Stegostoma tigrinum: one gene and its partners. The protein of the gene in region 2 interacts with the protein of the main gene of each other region in a pairwise test. Links are inferred from orthologs where the notes say so. Each region holds a gene or a part of one and is shown on either strand. Other genes may lie near its edges.

Region 1 (8,006 bases), on a different chromosome or scaffold from region 2:
AGCACCCGGAGGAAACCCACGCAGACACAAGGAGAACGTGCAAACTCCGCATAGACAGTTACCCAAGGGTGGAATCGAACCTGGGTCCCTGGCACTGTGAGACAGCAGTGCTAATGACTGAGCCACTGTGCTGTCCATCAGACTGAAAATTCTCATGTCTTCATTTCAATATTCAAAATGCAGAAATAAAAAGCTGATTTTGAATGCTACTGGATGAATATGGAGCAAAAGCAACGAAACAGAACAAAAAAGGCTGATGAGCTAAATTATGCACATATTTCGGCTGTGCTAAATAATATACCCAAAATGATGGGGAACGCCTGGTTTAGTGAGATGGAGGAATTGAAACAAAACTACATTGCCCCTTTAAAAGATAGAATAATAAATCAGAAACCTTATTTTTTTTAGCAGGTTTCTGTGAACTGGCAGATTAGTTTCACACCCAGCTGTGTTTCCTGAAGTACTTTTACTCAGGAAAAGACAATTAAGAAAACTGATACACGTATAACATACCTCTACTAACATACATCTGATTGGCAATTGCAACCTTCTTCTGCTGAAACTCCATCAAACGAATCACATTGTCAGATAACAAATATCTTTTCTCTGCAAATATAAAATTAAGACAGATTTAATTTTAATATTAAAGGGAAAACACTGCTTGTCATTACAGGTCATGTTGTATTATTAAATCTTCTCTTAATTATGGAAATTGCATTATGGAAAAAGCATTTTCTTCAATTTCCCTCTCTGCAGATGCTCCCTGACCTGCTGTCGTTTTAGCAGTTTGCTTTTAATTCAAAAATCCCATTTTTCCCTTCCTGCTTTTTACCCTGAAATTAGCATAACTGAGTCAGGTGTTCAACACTACAGTAGCTAAAAATATTTACATTTTAAATTTGAAAGGCTGGTTTCTATCTGTTTAGTGACTTTAGCCAATTATTCATTGAGTATTTTTAGAGTCACAGTAACTTAATGAAAATAGTCGTGTTGTTCCTTGAGCTGCCACTTCCTCTGATAGCAAAGTGATCATTCATGCCTGGCTTGAAGTATGCCTTTCCATCTCTTTCTGCACCGGTCCACATTTTCCTGTTACAAACTTGTTGTCCATGAGGATCCACTTCCCTTTTGTTCTGCTCCCATTTAGCTTCTGATCACCTGACTCTACCAGTTGGCCACCATGCTACCAGGCACAATAACACTTCTCTTCAAAACCATTTTCAACCTCCTCAAAATATTCTGAATTCCACCACAAGTCTCACTGCGAGATGAACAACTTCTAGGCCTAAACCACGCTCTCAGAGAAATAATTATTACAGCACAAAGCAAGGCAATTCAGCCAATCATGAATCTAACAGCTCTTGAAACAAGCAATTCACCTAATGCCATTTCCTGGCCTTCGCTCATTAGCCTGTTCATTCTTCCTTTTCAGGTAATAATCCAATTCCTTTTTGAATGCCTGAATTGAACCTGCCTCCATCCCACTTTCAGGCAGTGCATCCCAGACACTAACCACTCCCTGTATATGGATTTGGTTGCACACGTTTCTTCACCCTCAGTAACATCATCACTGCGCCTCTGGTGAAGCGTTGGTGTCTGTCCCACCTGTTATTCATATGCCTCAGTTTGCTGAGATGGTTGGCATTATTTCTGGTTCTGCTTTTCAGTGGTTTGCATCCTTATTGTTACTAACACCTGCTAGCCACCAAGAGACATGACCAATTCTCACTGGTCTCAATACACACAGACAACACATCCATAATAGCACGAGCCAAACAGAGACATGCCAGAGAATTCCTGGAGGCTTGGCATTCCAACTGGAACTCCATCAACAAATACATTGAACTGAACCCAATATACAAACCACTGAAAGACAGAACTAGGAAGTAAGCTTACGACCTCAGCAAACCGAAGCATATAAATAACAAGAGACAGTAGGAACTGCCGATGCTGGAGATAACAAGGTGTAGAGCTGGATGAACACAGCAGGCCAAGCAGCAGAGGAGCAGGAAGGCTGAAGGCTGAAACGAATTTGTGAAGAAGGGTCTTGGCCCGAAACGTCAGCTTTCCTGCTCCTCTGATGCTGTTGGCCTGCTGTGTTCATCCAGGCCTACACCTTGTTATCTCAAATTCTGCAACATCTGCAGTTATCTTTCAACGTTTAATACTTTGTTTATTTTACTCATTTCAAAAATCCTCTTCCAAGTAGCCCACTCAATATAACTGTGACGAGGGCACGCGATAAAACGCAGTCTGTGGAGAGTCTTCTCACTTTTCAAATTCCTTAATTTCTATCGGAACTTTGAAATCAGTGCAGCTTGGGATAAGTTGTTATTACAATGTTCCTACAGCTCTCCACTGCTTTCCTTTAGAGGTACTCCACAGTGGGCTGGTGCCCTGTCGTTGTGTGCACTCGTTCCCTCTCCCCAACTCTAAAGCGTAGTGGTCCCTCACTTGTCAGTCACTGTCGACAATCATATTCCATTCTCTCCTCTTCGTTAGAGCAAGCCTAAGCGGCGAGACTCCCTCAGTCATTCACGTTGGATACTCGTGTTCCACATACAGCTATTCCCCTCCCCCCTCTCTGATGGATGGTCTAGGCCCGAAACGCCAGCTTTTGGGCTCCTAAGATGCTGCTCGGCCTGCTGTGTTCATCCAGCCCCACACTTTGTCATCCCCAAGTCCCTTCGTTTCATACATATCCCCACTCATTCCTTCTCTCCTAAAGCGCCGAGCCTCACGCTTCCTCCCTCAATCATTGTGGAGGACCACGACCCTGCTCCCCTAAAGCGCTGACACTCGCTGTGGACTCTCCGTTTCCCCTAAAACCCTGCTGGTCCACTCACCACAGCGCCAACAATCACGGGCTTTATGCTGACAGTGAAGCGTGCCGCCTCTGACATTCTGAAACAGAACGCGGAGCGCCCGCGTCACAATCGCCGCCATTCCAACCGGACACTACCATCAAGCACAGGAGGGGGGGAGGAGCCAGTTTACAAATAAACCTAAGGAGCGAAATCACCACAGGCCCGGATAAATGATTTAATTTCAAAATTTTCTTTTTGCAAACGTTCAATACCTCAAAAACATGTTCTTCTGGAAACATAAACAAATCTTCGATGCATTTATTGTAAATGTTGGACGCCTCCCGGTCCAGACCAGTTTTCGTATATTCCAAAATGGCAGCCTCCTTGTTGCGGCGGAGTGCGAGGCTGATCAGAGCGAGAGGCGGTGGTGGCGCGCCAGGTAGGGAGCGCACGCACCCGGGGTGGTTGGCGGGTAGCGAGCACGCTCCCGGGATCATTGTCGGGTACTGAGGGCGCCATGGGATGCTGGCATTGTCGCGAACGCACGCCTGGAGTCGCTCGGACGCGGTGAGCGCGCGCCCCCTGAGGTCGGCGGCAGGGAGTGCGCCCGCGCCCGCGCGCCCCGTGGTCGGCGGCAGGGAGTGCGCCCGCGCGCGCGCGCCCCGAGGTCGGCGGCAGGGAGTGCGCCCGCGCCCGCGCGCCCCGAGGTCGGCGGCAGGGCGTGCGCCCGCGCCCGCGCGCCCCGAGGTCGGCGGCAGGGAGTGCGCCCGCGCCCGCGCGCCCCGAGGTCGGCGGCAGGGCGTGCGCCCGCGCCCGCGCGCCCCGAGGTCGGCGGCAGGGAGTGCGCGCGCTGAGAGAGCCGTTTGGGTTATGCAGTGATAATAGGAACCGCAGATGCTGGAGGATCCGAGATGATAAAATGTGAGGCTGGATGAACACAGCAGGCCAAGCAGCATCTCAGGAGCACAAAAGCTGACGTTTCGGGCCTAGACCCTTCATCAGAGAGGGGGATGGGGGGAGGGAACTGGAATAAATAGGGAGTGAGGGGGAGGCGGACCGAAGATGGAGAGCAAAGAAGATAGGTGGAGAGGGTGTAGGTGGGGAGGTAGGGAGGGGATAGGTCAGTCCAGGGAAGACGGACAGGTCAAGGAGGTGGGATGAGGTTAGTAGGTAGCTGGGGGTGGGAGGAAGGGATGGGTGAGAGGAAGAACCGGTTAGGGAGGCAGAGACAGGTTGGACTGGTTTTGGGATGCAGTGGGTGGAGGGGAAGAGCTGGGCTGGTTGTGTGGTGCAGTGGGGGGAGGGGATGAACTGGGCTGGTTTAGGGATGCAGTGGGGGAAGGGGAGATTTTGAAACTGGTGAAGTCCACATTGATACCATATGGCTGCAGGGTTCCCAGGCGGAATATGAGTTGCTGTTCCTGCAACCTTCGGGTGGCATCATTGTGGCAGTGCAGGAGGCCCATGATGGACATGTCATCAAGAGAATGGGAGGGGGAGTGGAAATGGTTTGCGACTGGGAGGTGCAGTTGTTTGTTGCGAACTGAGCGGAGGTGTTCTGCAAAGCGGCCTGTCGTGTTCATCCTGCTCTACACCTTGTTATCTTGGGCCGAGCGGCATGTGCAGGTTAAACCTCAGCTACCTGTGTGCGCAGTTACTGTCAAAGCTGACCAGTTTCTCCAGCGCTTCACTCCTCTTGCTCCAAGATTTACTGGCCTTTGGTATCCTGACCCAGTTTGTTCCGACAGCTTTTGTAACAGTAACTGGAAAAGTAGCAGATAAGTAAAAATAGAAGTGCTGGATGTATTCAGCAGCTCTGGCAGCACCCGTGAATAGAGGGACAGTTAACGTTTCCAATCTGTGAACTGGTTTGTGACAGTATTCCCGGCATCCTTTTAAAATTTCTGACTAACAGCGTCGGTATAATTTTGCTTCGTAATCATGAACGATCAGACTTGTTCTTTGACCTTTACGTACGGAAGACAGTCTTAGTTTGGATAACAGCTCATGTCTTTTTTAATACGTTGAACTGGTGGAATTGGCTAGGATGGCATTCTGCATTCCATATGACCCTGCAACAACATGGTAGAGCCAAACTCTCAAGAGGCAGCAGAATTGCTGTATGGATAGTAGACTTATTAAGACACAGATGAAGCATCAATAGCTTTTCCCCAATTAATGTAAAAATGCAAATTAAGCAATAACAATTTGTTTCAGTCATTTATAATTAGAGAGAGTGGGATATCACTTCAGAGTCCATGCCAGTCACTTTCTCCGATTTTCAAATTTGGGCAAGGCCCTTTGGTGCTCTGAGGTGATCTCTGCACTTGGTTAAATTAAACCTCCACATACCTGCATGAGAGCCACCACTTTATTGGAACTGCTGTAATCTAAATAGTGATTAATACATTTTGAAAAAATAACTTCTCTTGTTACCTCGCCATATTACCACTGGTGATTTTCCTCCTTATTTACAGCCTGCCTGTTGGTGACATCATCGAAACATGTGCACTGATAACACATACAACTCTTTGCAATTCATTAAATGCCTCTGTTGTCAGACTGTTTGCTCAATATTAACTCTTGGGTAAGCCACCATTTCATCCATTTAAACTTTGACAAAATGGGGGCCATTGCCTTTGTCCCCTGCCACAAACTATTTCCTCATCACCGGGGTTTCTCCGCATTAGTAAGAAGATATTTTCTAATCATCCTGTTCTTAGATGTTATTACACTCTTCTGGAGGTAGGGAGATTTGAACCTCAGCCTCCAGGCTCAGAGAGAGGAACACTACTGTTGCACCACAAAAGCCCATGCAGTAGGTTGAAAGCTGAGAATCTGCAATTTTGACATCCTACTGGCCTTTGCTGAAATCTTTATCCCAGATGACCACCCCCATATCCCTCTAATTACAGAGATTGAAGTCAGTAATTTTTCTCCAATTCATGTAGCACCTGACCTAGGATATTATTTGTACAAATAATGGAATGTTAATTTGACCTTTGGAGGAAACTGTTTAGAAGGCTTCTAAAACTCTCCCAAGGGTTACTTTCTTTTTAAAGTGTGATTTCCAGTTATTAAAATAGCTAGCCCCATTGTGGTTGCAGAAATTAGGTTAAGAGCTCAGTTTAGAACGGATTATTTGTGACTACCAAGGAATAACATGCTGAGCTCTAATACACTTTAATGTTATTGCATGACAAGACAATGATGGCAAAACGTTGTTATGTTTCTCATCTCAATGGGTGATAACTAAAGAAGTAAACTTAAAGTAGTGTGGGGCAAAATGTTACCAGTGATAATGGGAACTGCAGATGCTGGAGAATCCAAGATAATGAAATGTGAGGCTGGATGAACACAGCAGGCCCAGCAGCATCTCAGGAGCACAAAAGCTGACGTTTCGGGCCTAGACCCTTCATCAGAGAGGGGGATGGGGTGAGGGTTCTGGAATAAATAGGGAGAGAGGGGGAGGCAGACCGAAGATCTGCCTTCAGTCCGCCTCCCCCTCTCTCCCTATTTATTCCAGAACCCTCACCCCATCCCCCTCTCTGATGAAGGGTCTAGGCCCGAAACGTCAGCTTTTGTGCTCCTGAGATGCTGCTGGGCCTGCTGTGTTCATCCAGCCTCACATTTCATTATCTGGGGCAAAATGTTGTTTGTTTATGTACATTATAACTGCAGTGCACGCATGGGAACCTGATTCATAAGATTGAGTCATTTCAGAAATTTCCAACATTGCAGCTTAATTTGAAATATTAAAGCAGCAAAGCCTCTCAAAAGGAAGAACGATGCAAAATATGCTAAAATGAAAAATACCAGCTTTCCTGTTCCTCTGCTGCTGCTTGGCCTGCTGTGTTCATCCACTCTACACCTTATTATCCCATGATGCAAAACATAATCCTTTGTAATGCCACTGACCCAGTCACAGAAACTGATTTTGGTATTCTTTCAGACAGAGTTTGGATTCATCTGCTGATATGTTAATTTGAATTAGGGGCAGGCAATTGCCCCTCCAGACTGCACACCATTCAATAAAATCATGGTTTGATCTGATTATACATTCAGCTGCGCGTTCCAGCCTAACTTCAGTCTTAACAGCATCACTTGATGTCATCAGCAGAAAAGCAGCTCACTTGAGACCTATTCTAAAAACCTATAACCACAAAGGGACTTGGTGAATTTAACATTTTGTTTTGGAAAGGTGTTGTATTTGTGAAGAAATGACTGAGGATGAAATTCAGAGAAAAGATTCTGTCAACATTTAGTTGTGGGTGGATCAGTGCTGGATCAGAAAGCATAAAATTAATCTAAACGCAATGAAGTATTTTTCACAGACGTTTAAATTACCAAGGATTTTGCCTTTTACAGCAGCATGATTGGTGGTGGAGGAGAAGAGAGTTGGCAGGATGAGGATAATGACTTTATCTGTTAGTAGTATCTCACACAGAAGCCATAGATTTGATGGACTACCTACATTTCTCTCATTTGTTTTCTTATGACCATAAGGTGATGATTTATTTATATTTTTCTTCCAGTAACGAAAAGGTGTCTGCTCTCTGCAGCTTATTTAGATAATCAGAAATGGGACCAGCGAGAGAAAGACCCTCAAAATCTGGGTAAGTAGAAAACCATGAAGATATAACTTTCAACTTTTTGAAGAGTATTTCTTCTGGAAGGAAGTCTTTATATTCCTGTACAAATTTCTAAAATGACCCCCCCCCCTTATTATCATATTCCATTCATTGGGTGTTCTGTATTCAAACCCCACATTTATAGTTAATTCTTAAGTGTTAAGGTTGTCATTTAATTAGTGCAGAAACAATGAAAATCTCTGACGTTGCTTAGCTTCATTTCTCTATTGCAGGCTACAAAAAAACAGTGATATCAGGAAAGCATTTGAAAAGCAGAATAAACTAGCTTGAAACAGAGAGTAGGATAAAAGAACAAAAAAAATTGAAGGTAGGAGGAAAATAAGAAAAGTAACTGACTTTTTTAAGTAGATGCAGATATACATCCAAACATCTAGTATTATTACAGTACTTTGGAGTTCCAAATTTTTTTGAAAACAAGATTCAAGACACTCTCATCTTTTGGCTACTGCATTCTTTTGTGATATGGAATTAGGTAGTTCTTTCTCCTGATATTTTCTTTTTCTTCCCCAGTATGAACAACTGTCCATTTAAAAAACAAATCACTCAG
Region 2 (7,599 bases):
GGCACCGTATCAAAGGCCTTTTGGAAGTCTAGATAGATAACATCTACTGGGTTTCCCTGGTCTAACATACTTGTTACACCTTCAAAGAATTCTAACAGGTTTGTCAGGCACGACCTCCCCTTACTAAATCCATGCTGACTTGTTCTAATCTGACCCTGCACTTCTAGGAATTTAGAAATCTCATCTTTGACAATGGATTCTAGAATTTTACCAACTACCAAGGTTCGGCTAATCAGCCTGTAATTTTCCATCTTTTGCCTTAATCCCTTCTTAAACAAGGGAGTTAAAACAGCAATTTTCCAATCATCTGGGACTTTCCCTGACTCCAGTGACTTTTGAAAGATCACAACCAAAGCCTCCGCTATTTCCTCAGCCACCTCCCTCAGAACTCTAGGATGTAGCCCATCAGGGCCAGGAGATTTATCAATTTTTAGACCCTTCAGCTTTTCTAGCACTTTCTCTTTTGTAATGCCTACCGTACTCAACTCTGCCCCCTGACTCTCCCTAATTGTTGGCATACTACTTATGTCTTCCACTGTGAAGACTGACGCAAAGTACTTATTAAGTTCTTCAGCTATTTCCTTATCTTCCATCACTAGCCTTCTAGCATCAATTTGGAGCAGCCCAATATCTACTTTTCCCACTCGTTTGTTTCTTGTGTATTGAAAGAAGCTTTTACTGTCATTTCTAGTATTACTAGCTAGCCTACCTTCATATTTGATCCTCTCCTTCCTTATTGCTCTCTTTGTTATCCTCTGTTTGTTTTTGTAGCCTTCCCAATCTTCTGATTTCCCAGTGCTCTTGGCCACTTTATAGGCTGTCTCTTTTTCTTTGATATATTTCCTGACTTCCTTTGTCAGCCATGGCTGTCTAATCCCAACCCGGATAATCTTTCTTTTCTTTGGGATGAACCTCTGTACTGTGTCCTCAATTACACCCAGAAACTCCTGCCATTGTTGGTCTACTGTCTTCCCCGCTGAGCTCTGCTTCCAGTCGATTTTCGTCAATTCCTCTCTCATGCCCCTGTAATTACCTTTATTTAACTGTAACACCATTACGTCCAATTTTGCCTTCTCTCTTTCAAACTGCAGACTGAACTCTACCATATTATGATTGCTGCCTCCTAAGTGTTCCCTTTCTTTAAGGTCTTTTATAAAGTCTGGCTCATATTAAAACTGTATCACACGACATCTTCAATATACAGTAAGTCAATGGAATTAAAAACAATGGGTGCCTAAATCAATGCCATCTGTTTTACACTAACAACCAAAGCCACCCTCTGCTTCGGAGTACCCATCAAAAATCTACCTCGCCTTGACACATTGTTTTTTTTCCATATTGTCTGCACCATGATTATTAACACTTCAAAATTTAACTGAGACACAAGGGAAAACAAAAGCATGGAGCTGCAGTTAATGCCAATATCCTGATTACAACACTTGGTCTGAAACAGATCTTTATAGCTGAATGATTTATTGATCTAATTGTAATGATTGGACCGAGGTTAACCAGGTGGACCTCATAGAATACGAGTTCCATGATTGGGGCTGTTAACCTGGTCCAATCAGGGACCCCTGGCTGATACTAAGAACATAAGTGTCAGACTGTTCACTCTGAGAGCTGGCTCTGAGGAAGCTGGATCAGTGCCAAGAATTCTCCATGTGTAAACGAAAGGCAACTTGGTGTTGGGATACCATCTGCATGGAGTTATTTCACTAATATCTCATCATGCAAGTATGACTTCTTCGATCAAGGGATTTACTTGATTTTTACAGAGTGCTTGATAAGATCGCACATAATAAACATAATAAACTAGTCCTTAAATGATGAAAATCAAACAATTCATTGATCATGAGACAGTAGGAACTGCCAATGCTGGAGAATCTGCGATAACACGGTGTAACACTAGATGAACACAGCAGGCCAAGCAGCATCAGACCGTAATTCATAGATCATGGAGCTCTTTTGTGTGAAAGGCTTTTTTCCCGATTTCGATAAACCATTTTAATAACTTGTCTTTAAATACTGGATTTTCAATCTTACGGTGTCATTGAAGGGCTTTATTCCTGAAATCTTCCATATTAGTTCAAAAAATAAGTTAAATCTGGTATAGAAATATTAACACATTCAGGCAAAGAATACAAATAAATAATAACTAAGCAATTACCCAAATATGGCAATATTCTGAACAATGTAATCTGAAACAAAAACTATTAAAGTTCCCATTAGTAGATCAGAAATCAGGTGCCTAGCAATGTTCCATCACCTTAATAATAATGCATCAATAGCTAACACTCTGAAGATACTGTCCAGTTTTACTCACACCGTTAACACAGAAATAAGGCTCCAGTCAGTCTCCATAGAATACTTACAGTGTGGAAACAGGTCCTTTAGCCCAAGACGTCCACACTGCAACTCAGAGCATCCCGCCAATCCCTACATAACCCACTTAATCAACAAATCCCCAAACACAATGGGCAATTTAGCATGGCCAATCCATCTAGCATGCACATCTTTGAACTGTGGGAAGAAACTCACGCAGACACAGGGAGAATGTGCAAACTCCAAACAGTCACCCAAGGGTGGAATCGAACTCAGGCCCCTAGTGCTGTGAGGCAGCAGTGCTAACCACTGAGTCACTGTGCTGTCTCGATGTACCATCTCAAAACAAGCATTTTGAGTATTAAGCAAAATCTTCACATTTAGCTATCAGATCTGGTTCACTTCCTTTCCTGATGTCCAGTTAATATCTAATCACACAGAGCTCATCTATTCTTTACTCCTGTTTTTTTATCGTATTGTGCCAAAGACTTGTGTGGACTTAATATTATTCAGGAATAGGAAAAGTTAACAAACCTGTCTCTTTTTAATCTATCAGCTCATTATTGTGTCTCCAAACCAAAATTTTTCCGACAGATCAAATAGTCACCCAACACAGTTTTACCAACTATTTCAAAGATCCTGCCTTGCAATTGTTTCCATAAACCTAATAGGCCAAAATTTGTGGACTGAAGTAGGAACACAGGAATTAGGATCAAGAATAAGCCATTCAGCCCTTTAAGCTGGATCTGTCATTTGCCAAGATCGCAAGATGTGGCCTCAACTAAACTTCATTCCTGTTCCCCAATACCCTCAACTCCCTTATCTAAAGCAACTGGGGCAGACAGGAAAATGGATGGAGTTCACAGCACTTACAGTCATTCAATTGCAAAGATTTACTCCAGTGGTTTTAGAGAGCAATGTGTTGTTGTAAAAAGAAATATTGGTTGGCATGTTCCAGACACACATGCTCATCCCCAACCACCACAAAATTCAGGCCAGTTTCTTTTAGGTGAAAAAGATTCCCTGACTTCCCTTATGATACATTTTTCAATGTTTTTTTTTATTTGTGGTCTGATATTTGAATTTGTTGCCACGTTAACAGCTTGCTTGGATTCCTTTTTGAATGCCTTCCATCTGCTTGAAGAATCCAAACAGATCTCATTAGGCCAAGCAGCATCTCAGGAGCACAAAAGCTGACGTTTCGGGCCCATCAGCTTTTGTGCTCCTGAGATGTTGCTTGGCCTGCTGTGTTCATCCAGCTTCACACTTTATTATCTTGGATTCTCCAGCATCTGCAGTTCCCATTATCTCAGATCTCATTAGGCTTTCTTCTCTTCTGAAGAATGCCAAATTTCTTACTATTTCTAATTGACTGGATCCAAGATCCAGAGGAATACACATCAATCATGTTCTTCATTTACACTGAGACAAGTAGCTTTACCAGTACCGTATTCCCATAGCAGAAAAGTTTTTCCATGTATTCGGAAACTGTTTCCTAAGCACTGAACAATGTTCTGTACAAGCTGCACAATTGTACACCAGTATCACAACTCAAAACTTCCCACGGGGGATGTGCTCACGTTATTCCTTTGTTTTTACTTTCAAAACGGACTCGGGCCACACTTCAAAACAAGTACCTAATAGTCTACAGTGTTGGTGGGGATGTATAAGAACTTGGCGATAACCAGTGATTGTGAAAATGCAAGTTCTTTTTTTTTCAAAAAATGCAAAAATAGTGGAATATACTTTGCAGTACGATTTTGCAGAACGAGTATGCTTTTATTTAGGTTTCGGCATCGATGGTCAAGCAGTGCGATTTTGCAAAACGTGTACGCTTCATTTATCACTGGGATATCGCTACGGCACGGATACAACAGCGCTAAATCGTTTGGAAATAAAAGGCAAGGAACTTGGCAGAGTGAAAAATAGTAATGATCCACCTTCATAAACATGCACATTTTATATCTCATAAGTACAAGTAAAATAATGACACTCATTATTGCACACAATCCTACCGAAGGGGAAATAAAACAACTTCAACGGGGCGGGGAAATTTTGGTTTGCAACACACTTCGGCGCAACTGCGCACGCGCGTTGTCTTCCCGGGCTGGATACCCTGGAAGGAGAGGTGCGGATTTTGATTGACAGCGGGGGAGAGCCAATCAGTTTCACGTGTGCTCCATCGTTGGCGGAGGACGACAAATGCAGTCGGGCGCGGGGCGGGTGACGTCACAACGGGGCCTGGAAGCTGCCGGGCGAGCGTGAAGTCTGCGACAGGAAGAGCGCGGGCGTGCGCGCGCACGCAGGGGTCGGCGGATGACAGGCGAGCGCCGCACTGCAGGCGCGGGGTCTGCTTCCAGGGCCGCCCCGCACCCCCTTCCCCTAACGATCAAGACAAGAACCTGAAGGACTGAGCCAGCGGTAAATGTCTTCACTTGCTTTTTTCTTAAAAAAAATGTTTCTATATATAGTGCGTTGGTAGACCGCTGCGTTTTTGAAATTTGATCCGAGGCCGGTTTTGTTTGTCTTTCGGATTCCTCGCCGAAGCCTAATAGCTCGACCCTTAGGCTTAGAAGCGTCTGGACAAGCAGTGTTCCTCAAATCTATCCCCCCTATAAATCTAAGCTCCCCGACCCCGTCAAATCCAACCCACCCATATGAATCTAACCCCCTCAAATCCAACCCAATCCCCTCAAATCCAACCCACCCCTATAAATCTAACCCCCTCAAATCCAACCCACCCCTATAAATCTAACCCCCTCAAATCCAACCCACCCCTATAAATCTAACCCCCTCAAATTCAACCCACCCCGATAAATCTAACCCCCTCAAATCCAACCCACCCCTATAAATCTAACCCCCTCAAATCCAACCCAATCCCCTCAAATCCAACCCACCCCTATAAATCTAACCCCCTCAAATCCAACCCACCCCTATGAATCTAACCCCCTCAAATCCAACCCACCCCTATGAATCTAACCCCCTCAAATCCAACCCACCCCTATGAATCTAACCCCCTCAAATCCAACCCACCCCTATGAATCTAACCCCCTCAAATCCAACCCACCCCTATGAATCTAACCCCCTCAAATCCAACCCACCCCTATGAATCTAACCCCCTCAAATCCAACCCACCCCTATGAATCTAACCCCCTCAAATCCAACCCACCCCTATGAATCTAACCCCCTCAAATCCAACCCACCCCTATGAATCTAACCCCCTCAAATCCAACCCACCCCTATGAATCTAACCCCCTCAAATCCAACCCACCCCTATGAATCTAACCCCCTCAAATCCAACCCACCCCTATGAATCTAACCCCCTCAAATCCAACCCACCCCTATGAATCTAACCCCCTCAAATCCAACCCACCCCTATGAATCTAACCCCCTCAAATCCAACCCACCCCTATGAATCTAACCCCCTCAAATCCAACCCACCCCTATGAATCTAACCCCCTCAAATCCAACCCACCCCTATGAATCTAACCCCCTCAAATCCAACCCACCCCTATGAATCTAACCCCCTCAAATCCAACCCACCCCTATGAATCTAACCCCCTCAAATCCAACCCACCCCTATGAATCTAACCCCCTCAAATCCAACCCACCCCTATGAATCTAACCCCCTCAAATCCAACCCACCCCTATGAATCTAACCCCCTCAAATCCAACCCACCCCTATGAATCTAACCCCCTCAAATCCAACCCACCCCTATGAATCTAACCCCCTCAAATCCAACCCACCCCTATGAATCTAACCCCCTCAAATCCAACCCACCCCTATGAATCTAACCCCCTCAAATCCAACCCACCCCTATGAATCTAACCCCCTCAAATCCAACCCACCCCTATGAATCTAACCCCCTCAAATCCAACCCACCCCTATGAATCTAACCCCCTCAAATCCAACCCACCCCTATGAATCTAACCCCCTCAAATCCAACCCACCCCTATGAATCTAACCCCCTCAAATCCAACCCACCCCTATGAATCTAACCCCCTCAAATCCAACCCACCCCTATGAATCTAACCCCCTCAAATCCAACCCACCCCTATGAATCTAACCCCCTCAAATCCAACCCACCCCTATGAATCTAACCCCCTCAAATCCAACCCACCCCTATGAATCTAACCCCCTCAAATCCAACCCACCCCTATGAATCTAACCCCCTCAAATCCAACCCACCCCTATGAATCTAACCCCCTCAAATCCAACCCACCCCTATGAATCTAACCCCCTCAAATCCAACCCACCCCTATGAATCTAACCCCCTCAAATCCAACCCACCCCTATGAATCTAACCCCCTCAAATCCAACCCACCCCTATGAATCTAACCCCCTCAAATCCAACCCACCCCTATGAATCTAACCCCCTCAAATCCAACCCACCCCTATGAATCTAACCCCCTCAAATCCAACCCACCCCTATGAATCTAACCCCCTCAAATCCAACCCACCCCTATGAATCTAACCCCCTCAAATCCAACCCACCCCTATGAATCTAACCCCCTCAAATCCAACCCACCCCTATGAATCTAACCCCCTCAAATCCAACCCACCCCTATGAATCTAACCCCCTCAAATCCAACCCACCCCTATGAATCTAACCCCCTCAAATCCAACCCACCCCTATGAATCTAACCCCCTCAAATCCAACCCACCCCTATGAATCTAACCCCCTCAAATCCAACCCACCCCTATGAATCTAACCCCCTCAAATCCAACCCACCCCTATGAATCTAACCCCCTCAAATCCAACCCACCCCTATGAATCTAACCCCCTCAAATCCAACCCACCCCTATGAATCTAACCCCCTCAAATCCAACCCACCCCTATGAATCTAACCCCCTCAAATCCAACCCACCCCTATGAATCTAACCCCCTCAAATCCAACCCACCCCTATGAATCTAACCCCCTCAAATCCAACCCACCCCTATGAATCTAACCCCCTCAAATCCAACCCACCCCTATGAATCTAACCCCCTCAAATCCAACCCACCCCTATGAATCTAACCCCCTCAAATCCAACCCACCCCTATGAATCTAACCCCCTCAAATCCAACCCACCCCTATGAATCTAACCCCCTCAAATCCAACCCACCCCTATGAATCTAACCCCCTCAAATCCAACCCACCCCTATGAATCTAACCCCCTCAAATCCAACCCACCCCTATGAATCTAACCCCCTCAAATCCAACCCACCCCTATGAATCTAACCCCCTCAAATCCAACCCACCCCTATGAATCTAACCCCCTCAAATCCAACCCAC
Region 3 (6,924 bases), on a different chromosome or scaffold from region 2:
TCCAGATCTTGTTGCACATGAACTTGGGCTGCTTCAGTATCTGAGGAATCATGAATGGTGCTGAACATTGTGCAATCATCGGCAAACATCGCCACTTCTGACCTTGTGATGGAGAGAAGGCCATTGATGAAGCAACTGAAGATGGTTGGGGCAAAGCCACTACCCTGAGGAACTCCTGCAGAGATGTCTTGGAGCTGAGATAATTGACCTCCCACAACCATGACCATCTTCATATGTGTCAGGTATGACTCCACCTACCGGAACATTTTCCCCCTGATATCCATTGATCCTAGTTTTGCTAGGGCTCCTTGATGCACACTCAGTTGAATGCAGCCTTGATGCCGAGGGCTGTCATTCTGACTTCACCTCTGGAATTCAGCTCGTTTGTCCATGTTTGAACCAAGGCTGTAATGAGGTCAGGAGCTGAGTGGCCCTGGCGGAACCCAAACTGGGCGTCACTGAGTACGCTAGTGCTGAGCAGTGCAGCTTGACAGCACAGTTGATGACACCTTCCATCATTTTACTGACGATCGAGAGTAGACTGATGGGTTGGTAATTGTCTGGGTTGGATTTGTCCTGCTTTTTGTGTACAGGACATACTTGGGCAATTTTCCACATTGTTGAGTAGATACCAGTAGTGTAACTGTACTGGAACAGCTTGTCTACGGGAGTGGAAAGCTCTAGGACACAAATCTTCAGTACTATGGCCAGAATGTTGTCAAGGCCGGTAGCCTTTGCAGTATCCAGTGTTTCCAATCATTTCTTGATATCGTGTGGAGTGGATCAAATTAGCTGAAAACTCGTATCTGTGATGCTGGGGACCACTGGAGGAGGCCAAGACGGATCATCCACTTGGCACTTCTGACTGATTGAAAGAAACCCTATCCCTTTTCAGTCCTCAATGAAAAATATAGAAGAATATAAAAGATAGCCTTTCCAAATCCCAGTGATAAAGTACATCAGGACTTGGGAGACTTGTCAGCTTGCAATTCCAACAATTTGCTTCCCTTGGGATTATAATTTTCTTGATCTTTCTTCCCTTCCATTTCCTGATTTACAGTCTTCTCTGAGATTAGTATCCTCTAGAACATAGAACATAGAACAACACAGCACAGAATAGGCCCTTCGGCCCTCGATGTTGCTCCGACCTGTGAACTATTCTAAGCCCATCCCCCTACACTATCCCATCATCATCCATATGCTTATCCAAGGACTGTTCAAATGCCCCTAATGTGGCTGAGTTAACTACATTGGCACGCAGGGCGTTCCACGCCCTTACCACTCTCTGAGTAAAGAACCGGCCTCTGACATCTGTCTTAAATCTATCACCCCTCAATTTCTAGCTATACCCCCTTGTACAAGCTGAAGTCATCATCCTAGGAAAAAGACTCTCACTGTCCACCCTAACTAATCCTCTGATCATCTTGTATGTCTCTATTAAATCCCCTCTTAGCCTTCTTCTCTCCAATGAGAACATACCCAAGTCCCTCAGCCTTTCTGGACAGGGCCTGCGCTCCAGACCAGGCAACATCCTGCTAAATCTCCTCTGCACCTTTTCCAATGCTTCCACATGCCTCCTGTAATGGGGCGACCAGAACTGCGCGCAATATTCCAAGTGAGGCCGCACTAGCGTTTTGTACAGTTGCAGCATGACATCCCGGCTCCGGAACTCAATCCCCCTACCAATAAAACCAAACACACCATAAGCTTTCTTAACAGCACTATCAACCTGAGTGGCAACTTTCAGGGATCTTTGTAGATGGACATCAAAGTCCCTCTGCACATCCACACTACCCAGAATCTTTCCACAGATCCAATATTCTGCCTTCCAATTATTCCTCCCAAAGTGAATCACCTCACATTTATCCGTATTAAACTCCATTTGTCACCTTCCGGCCCAATTCTGCAGTTTATCCAAGTATCTAAAATGAAGACAAATGCAAAATAGCTGCTTAATTTGTCGACCATCTTTTTTCCATGATTAATTCCATACTTGTTTTCTATAGGACAAATATCTACAAAATTTATGCTCTCATTTTATATTCAGACTATGTGTTGTAAATTTCAAAGAGCTGCTGCCAGATGCACAGATTGTACTGGTGGTTGTTGGCATTTGCAAAACAATTGCGGTGAAGTAGACCCAGTCCCAGGAGGAAGATGATGAAAGGCTCACATTTGTTAAATCCTTACTTCATCTGTCAAAATTACGATGTCTGGTTTTTCATTTGAACTTCTCACACATTTGTGTACATTGAACCACCAAGAGATTACATTTATGCAATTTGCAGCCTTTTTTATAATTCTAGCTATCTTTCTCTCACTTCTTCCCTCCCATTAATGTTTTAATCATTTTCTTAAAATATATCTTGTCTAATCTTCAGATCTGCCACCTACTATTACATAAGTATATGCTCTTCCTTTAGGGTTTATACTATTACAGCTTCTTTATCTAACCATGGATGGTGATTCCTCTCAGAATTTTGTTTGGTGTTGAAATGGATATAATTTGTGCATTTTGAAATATTTCCTTAAATGTCGACCACACTATTGCTTTCTAACCTAATTTGTTAGTTCACTTTGGTTCTGCTTTCAGACCATAAGAAATAGGAACAGGAGTAAGCCGTTTTTGGCCCCTCAAACCTGCTGCACCTTTTGATAGGATCGTGGCTGATCGACTCTTCACATATCTACTTTCCCAACCTTTCCCCATAACCCTTGATTCCCTTACTGATCAAGAACCTATTTATCTCAGCATGATATATGCACCAATGCCCTGCTCCCACAGTTCTTTGTGATATGGAGTTCTAAAGACTCTCAACCAGAGCTTTCATGCCATCATCATTGCCCTTAGTTTATTTTAAAATACTAGTCTTTGACTCAGTTTTGTTTTCCTCAAACTGAATATAAAATTCACATTCTAATTGCTGTTATCTAGGGATGTGTACACCACGAGGTGATTTGTTAATTCTATATCATTGCATAATATCAGGTCTAGTAAAGCCTATTCTCTGATTAACCCACGAATATGCTCAACTAGAATGCTTTGCACATCTGATGTTTCAACTCTAACTGGTAAGTTAAAATCCTCCAAGATTATTGCTATACCTTTCTGGCATTTTTCTTGCTGGTCGCTTCTGAGATTTCAAGGGCAAATCTATCTAATGTCCCCTTGTAATTAAACAAGCGTGTATGCAAGCACTTACCTGACCCAAAACTGAATATTGATTTTGCAGGCTACATTGCAAATCATCTTTTTAAATTTAGTTACATAAGGATATTTGTTTTTTATATGAGAAAACAACGCTTCCTATTGTAGTTTAATACAGCTGCTTAACTAGAAGTTAATGGTCAAATGTTTAAACATAACTGTCAACAGAGGAAATCTGAGTTTATTTATACAAAGTATGTGTTCTTGGTTCTTCATCAATGAAAGCATTCAAGATTTGAACTGCAATTGAGACTTTATTTCAGATTCTTGGAAGATTAATATTTCATTTGTGAAGTATGCATTCAGTTAATCTTTAAAATGAACATGTATTTTTCAAATTTATATCAACTGAAGGATTTGGCTGCAATATTTCTGCCATGCAATATTTCAGTCTCATATTTGTAGTGAATGTTCTTCACAATCAGTGCAATTTGCTTTTGACATTTCAATTGTTAAATAGCTAAAATTTGAACCTGTTATGAAGCTTAGATTGAATAATATCATACAGCACGGCTTATGACATTCTGCTGGGCATCAAAATAGTTTGAATAATGTACAGAAGTTCATACGATCTACAAGTGCATCAAGTACTTGGAAGGATTTTCAGCACCTGAAATAGCTGCCAGGCTATTTAAAGATTCTCAACTCATGAATGTTCCACAGCAACACCATGGTCGTGATAGTTGTACTGGTTGAATCTGATTTCAGTCAGTAGTCCATTGCAATTTTGGCATAGATAAATCAACGTTCGTTACCCCAAACTGCTTTCTTGTATGAATAATCCAGTGTGTACAAGTACTATTCCAACTGTGGAACTTTAAAAATTCTTTCAACATGATACAAACTGGTAAGTATTACGCCCTTAATTTTCAGTTTGCAGTTGCTGCCTCCAGTTCAAAATAAACTGATAATTGGCTGTTTAAGTTTTCACAAAAATGCATTCTGAATGAAAAGATTAATTCTGCTTCATGTTTCAACAAAAGTACAGAAAATAAATTGAAATGCTTACTTGTGTTGAGATAAACAGGATTTTGAATGAGCGAAAGTATTTTGCTTATTCAAGTGAATGTAAATAATTAAACAAAGGATTCACAATTATTTTGTTTATTTACCATTTATAAGGTGCAAAGTTTTGTACAAATATATCTGTTGATAGTTAATATTAAACTGTTCTTTTAATGGCTTTCTGTTTTACTTTATTGAGTGTGGGCACATGCACTGGACTGTTAATCTCGAGATCCAGGTAATATTTCAGGGACCCAAGTTTGAATCCTGCTATGGCAGTTGGTGAAATTTGAATGCAATAAAAATCTGGAATTACGAGTCTAATAATGAGCATGAAACCGTTGTTGATTGTCAGAAAAAACCATCTGGGCCACTAATGTCCTTTCGGGAATGAAACTACCATCCTAACCCAGTCCGGCCTACATATGACTGTAGACCCAAAACAATGTGATTGACTCTTAACTGCCCTCCCCGATAGGCAAAAAATGCAGGCCTAGCTAGTGACACACTCATCCCATGAATTAATAAAATATTACAAAATTTCCTCAATGTTTGAATCTCTCCAATTAAGTTACTATTACTGCTACCTTGACTGTATTAGTATCAACAAGTGCATAAATGAAATTCTGAGAAATTATGTTCACTAGCCATTCAAAAATTCAGCACTGGAACAGAAATATATCAAGTTCAAACCTAGGCTATTGAGAAAATCACTTTAAAATGATTCAGTTGATGAAATTATATCATATATTATTGTGCTTGTCATTTTAGATTTTTTTCTGGTATTTTCTGGGAGAGGGAGGATTAATGTTGGGATTGATGACGGTACTAAATTCAGTAGGTTTCATTGCAAAGCATGATTAACCTATATGAGCGTGATGTCACATAAGCACCATAACAACTTATGGCTGCCAGCTGTTTTAAAAGCCATCCTAATTGGCTGAACACCTGAATGGGGGACCAATTTTGTGAAAGGCCAGCATTAGTTAAAATTATCCTGCACCTCTTAAAAGGGAGGAGCACAGCAGCTAGAGAGACTGTTAATATTTTACAGAAAATAAATCTAACCTGTAAAACGTTGAATAATAACATAGCATGAGAAAGAAAGTGATTGTCAGGATTTTTGAGTGAATAACCAGAGATCTTAGTTGAGAAGATGGTAAGTAAGAGAGATTTCGTGAAAGAAAAGCCTCAAAAACCAACCAGACTTGTGTTCAGGAAATAGTGGAAGTAAATAGCTGTGGAGGTCATTGCCAAAAGTCCAGCCGCAAGAATCTGGATAGACTCATGCAATAAGTACAATTCCCTCTGTAGCAGTCAATGTGAACGCTTTTTCAAATTCTATACCCAACCGTGAGCATTAGACACTGCCCAAAACAATCATTTGGTAACAACCTCCATCAATCAAGACCCATACTTGATATTTAAATGCTTCATCACACTCTTAGCACTACTACAAGCTTCACATGTTTCTCCTAGCTTGCAGACCCAGCCAGCTGTTTCCCCATGTCAGCTGCATTACATAAAAGGATTGCTAATTGCTCAATGACATTCTTCCCTCCCTGTTTCAGGACAAGATGGCACACAACTTGGGGCGACAGGAGCTCAGGCATGCCTATATATACGAACCCTTTTGGACAGTATCCTACTGAGCATTATCAACTGTCTCTTACATGACTGACTATGATCAGTAGAGCGGATGAAATCCTAGTGGGAGACAATAGACTTCTACTTATCCTCCTAACATCCCACAGTTTCTTCTCTTTGCAAGATGCAGATGGTATAAGCATGCACCTTTTACATTACCCTCATCATCTCAGACATTTAGCCTTTGTGCCTTTTTCCTTTCTCATAATCGAAAAGTGCAGCCACCAACAGACCAGTCACCTAGTGTACTCTTCATTTCCCCAATGTAGAGGAGATCATATTGTGAGCACCGAATGCAGTAGGCTAGATTCTGGGAAGTGTAGGTGAGGTGTTGCCTCACCTGGAAGGTATGTTTGGGCCCTTGGATACTGCGGAGGGAGGAGGTAAATGCACAGGTGTTGCACCTTCACCAGTTACAGGGGAAGGTGCCGTAGGGCTGTGGTGAGGTGTTGGGAGTGAAGGAAGTGTGGACCAGGGTGTCCTGGAGGGATCGGTCCCTGTGGAAGGCAGACAAGGGAGGGGAGGAGAATATGTGCCTGGAGGTGGTGGAAATGGTGCCTGATGATCTTCTGGATGTGGATGCTAGTGGGTTTGTAGTGGATGTTAGTTGTGTTCTGCCCACAAAAAAGACCCTGAACTATCTGTTGCCTGCCACTTTAATGCACCACCCTGTTCCCTGACCAACATGTTTGTCTGTGGCTTGCTGCAGTGTTCTAGTGAAGCTCAACGCAAGCTAGAAGAACAACACCTCATTTTCTTCCTGGGGACCCTGCAGCCCTTCAGACTCAATATTGAGTTCAATAATTTTAGGGCCTAAACTCTCCATGTCCCAGCCCCCTACGCCTCACACCAGGCCTTGTTACCACATAGCCTGCCATTACACACTACCTGTTATTAGTCACTAATAGTCCCCATTAATAACTATTCACTGTCCCATCCTGATCATTATCAACTCTTTATCTGTCCAGCTGCTCTTCTTTCTCTTTAGGCTCTATCCTATTGTTTACTCCCTACCCCACCCCCCTCCCCTTTTTCCTGCATGTATAAACTCACATTTCCCCAGC

The links. The genes of interacting proteins can lie anywhere in the genome.
Region 1: the proteins of trim32 (region 2) and ptcd2 interact in binary tests that used the Homo sapiens proteins (3 or more experiments, as listed by UniProt). The two-hybrid records come from large-scale screens. The link is inferred for Stegostoma tigrinum from reciprocal best matches to the Homo sapiens genes TRIM32 and PTCD2.
Region 3: the proteins of trim32 (region 2) and CAP-Gly domain-containing linker protein 4-like interact in binary tests that used the Homo sapiens proteins (3 or more experiments, as listed by UniProt). The two-hybrid records come from large-scale screens. The link is inferred for Stegostoma tigrinum from reciprocal best matches to the Homo sapiens genes TRIM32 and CLIP4.

What each region holds. Positions count from the first base shown.
Region 1 is NC_081356.1:102,211,651-102,219,656, reverse strand, and holds the start of ptcd2 (pentatricopeptide repeat-containing protein 2, mitochondrial), read right to left. Parts: upstream 3,021-8,006; 5' UTR 2,947-3,020; coding exon 2,847-2,946; intron 2,840-2,846; exon of another isoform or gene 2,455-2,839; intron 2,361-2,454; exon of another isoform or gene 2,273-2,360; intron 607-2,272; coding exon 514-606; intron 1-513. Other genes in the region: mrps27 (28S ribosomal protein S27, mitochondrial), read left to right, coding at 3,180-3,246, 7,343-7,423. UniProt on the Homo sapiens protein: Involved in mitochondrial RNA maturation and mitochondrial respiratory chain function.
Region 2 is NC_081382.1:14,832,236-14,839,834, reverse strand, and holds the start of trim32 (E3 ubiquitin-protein ligase TRIM32), read left to right. Parts: upstream 1-4,578; 5' UTR 4,579-4,743; intron 4,744-7,599. UniProt on the Homo sapiens protein: E3 ubiquitin ligase that plays a role in various biological processes including neural stem cell differentiation, innate immunity, inflammatory resonse and autophagy.
Region 3 is NC_081362.1:74,187,565-74,194,488, forward strand, and holds the start of CAP-Gly domain-containing linker protein 4-like, read left to right. Parts: upstream 1-3,904; 5' UTR 3,905-4,042; coding exon 4,043-4,055; intron 4,056-6,924.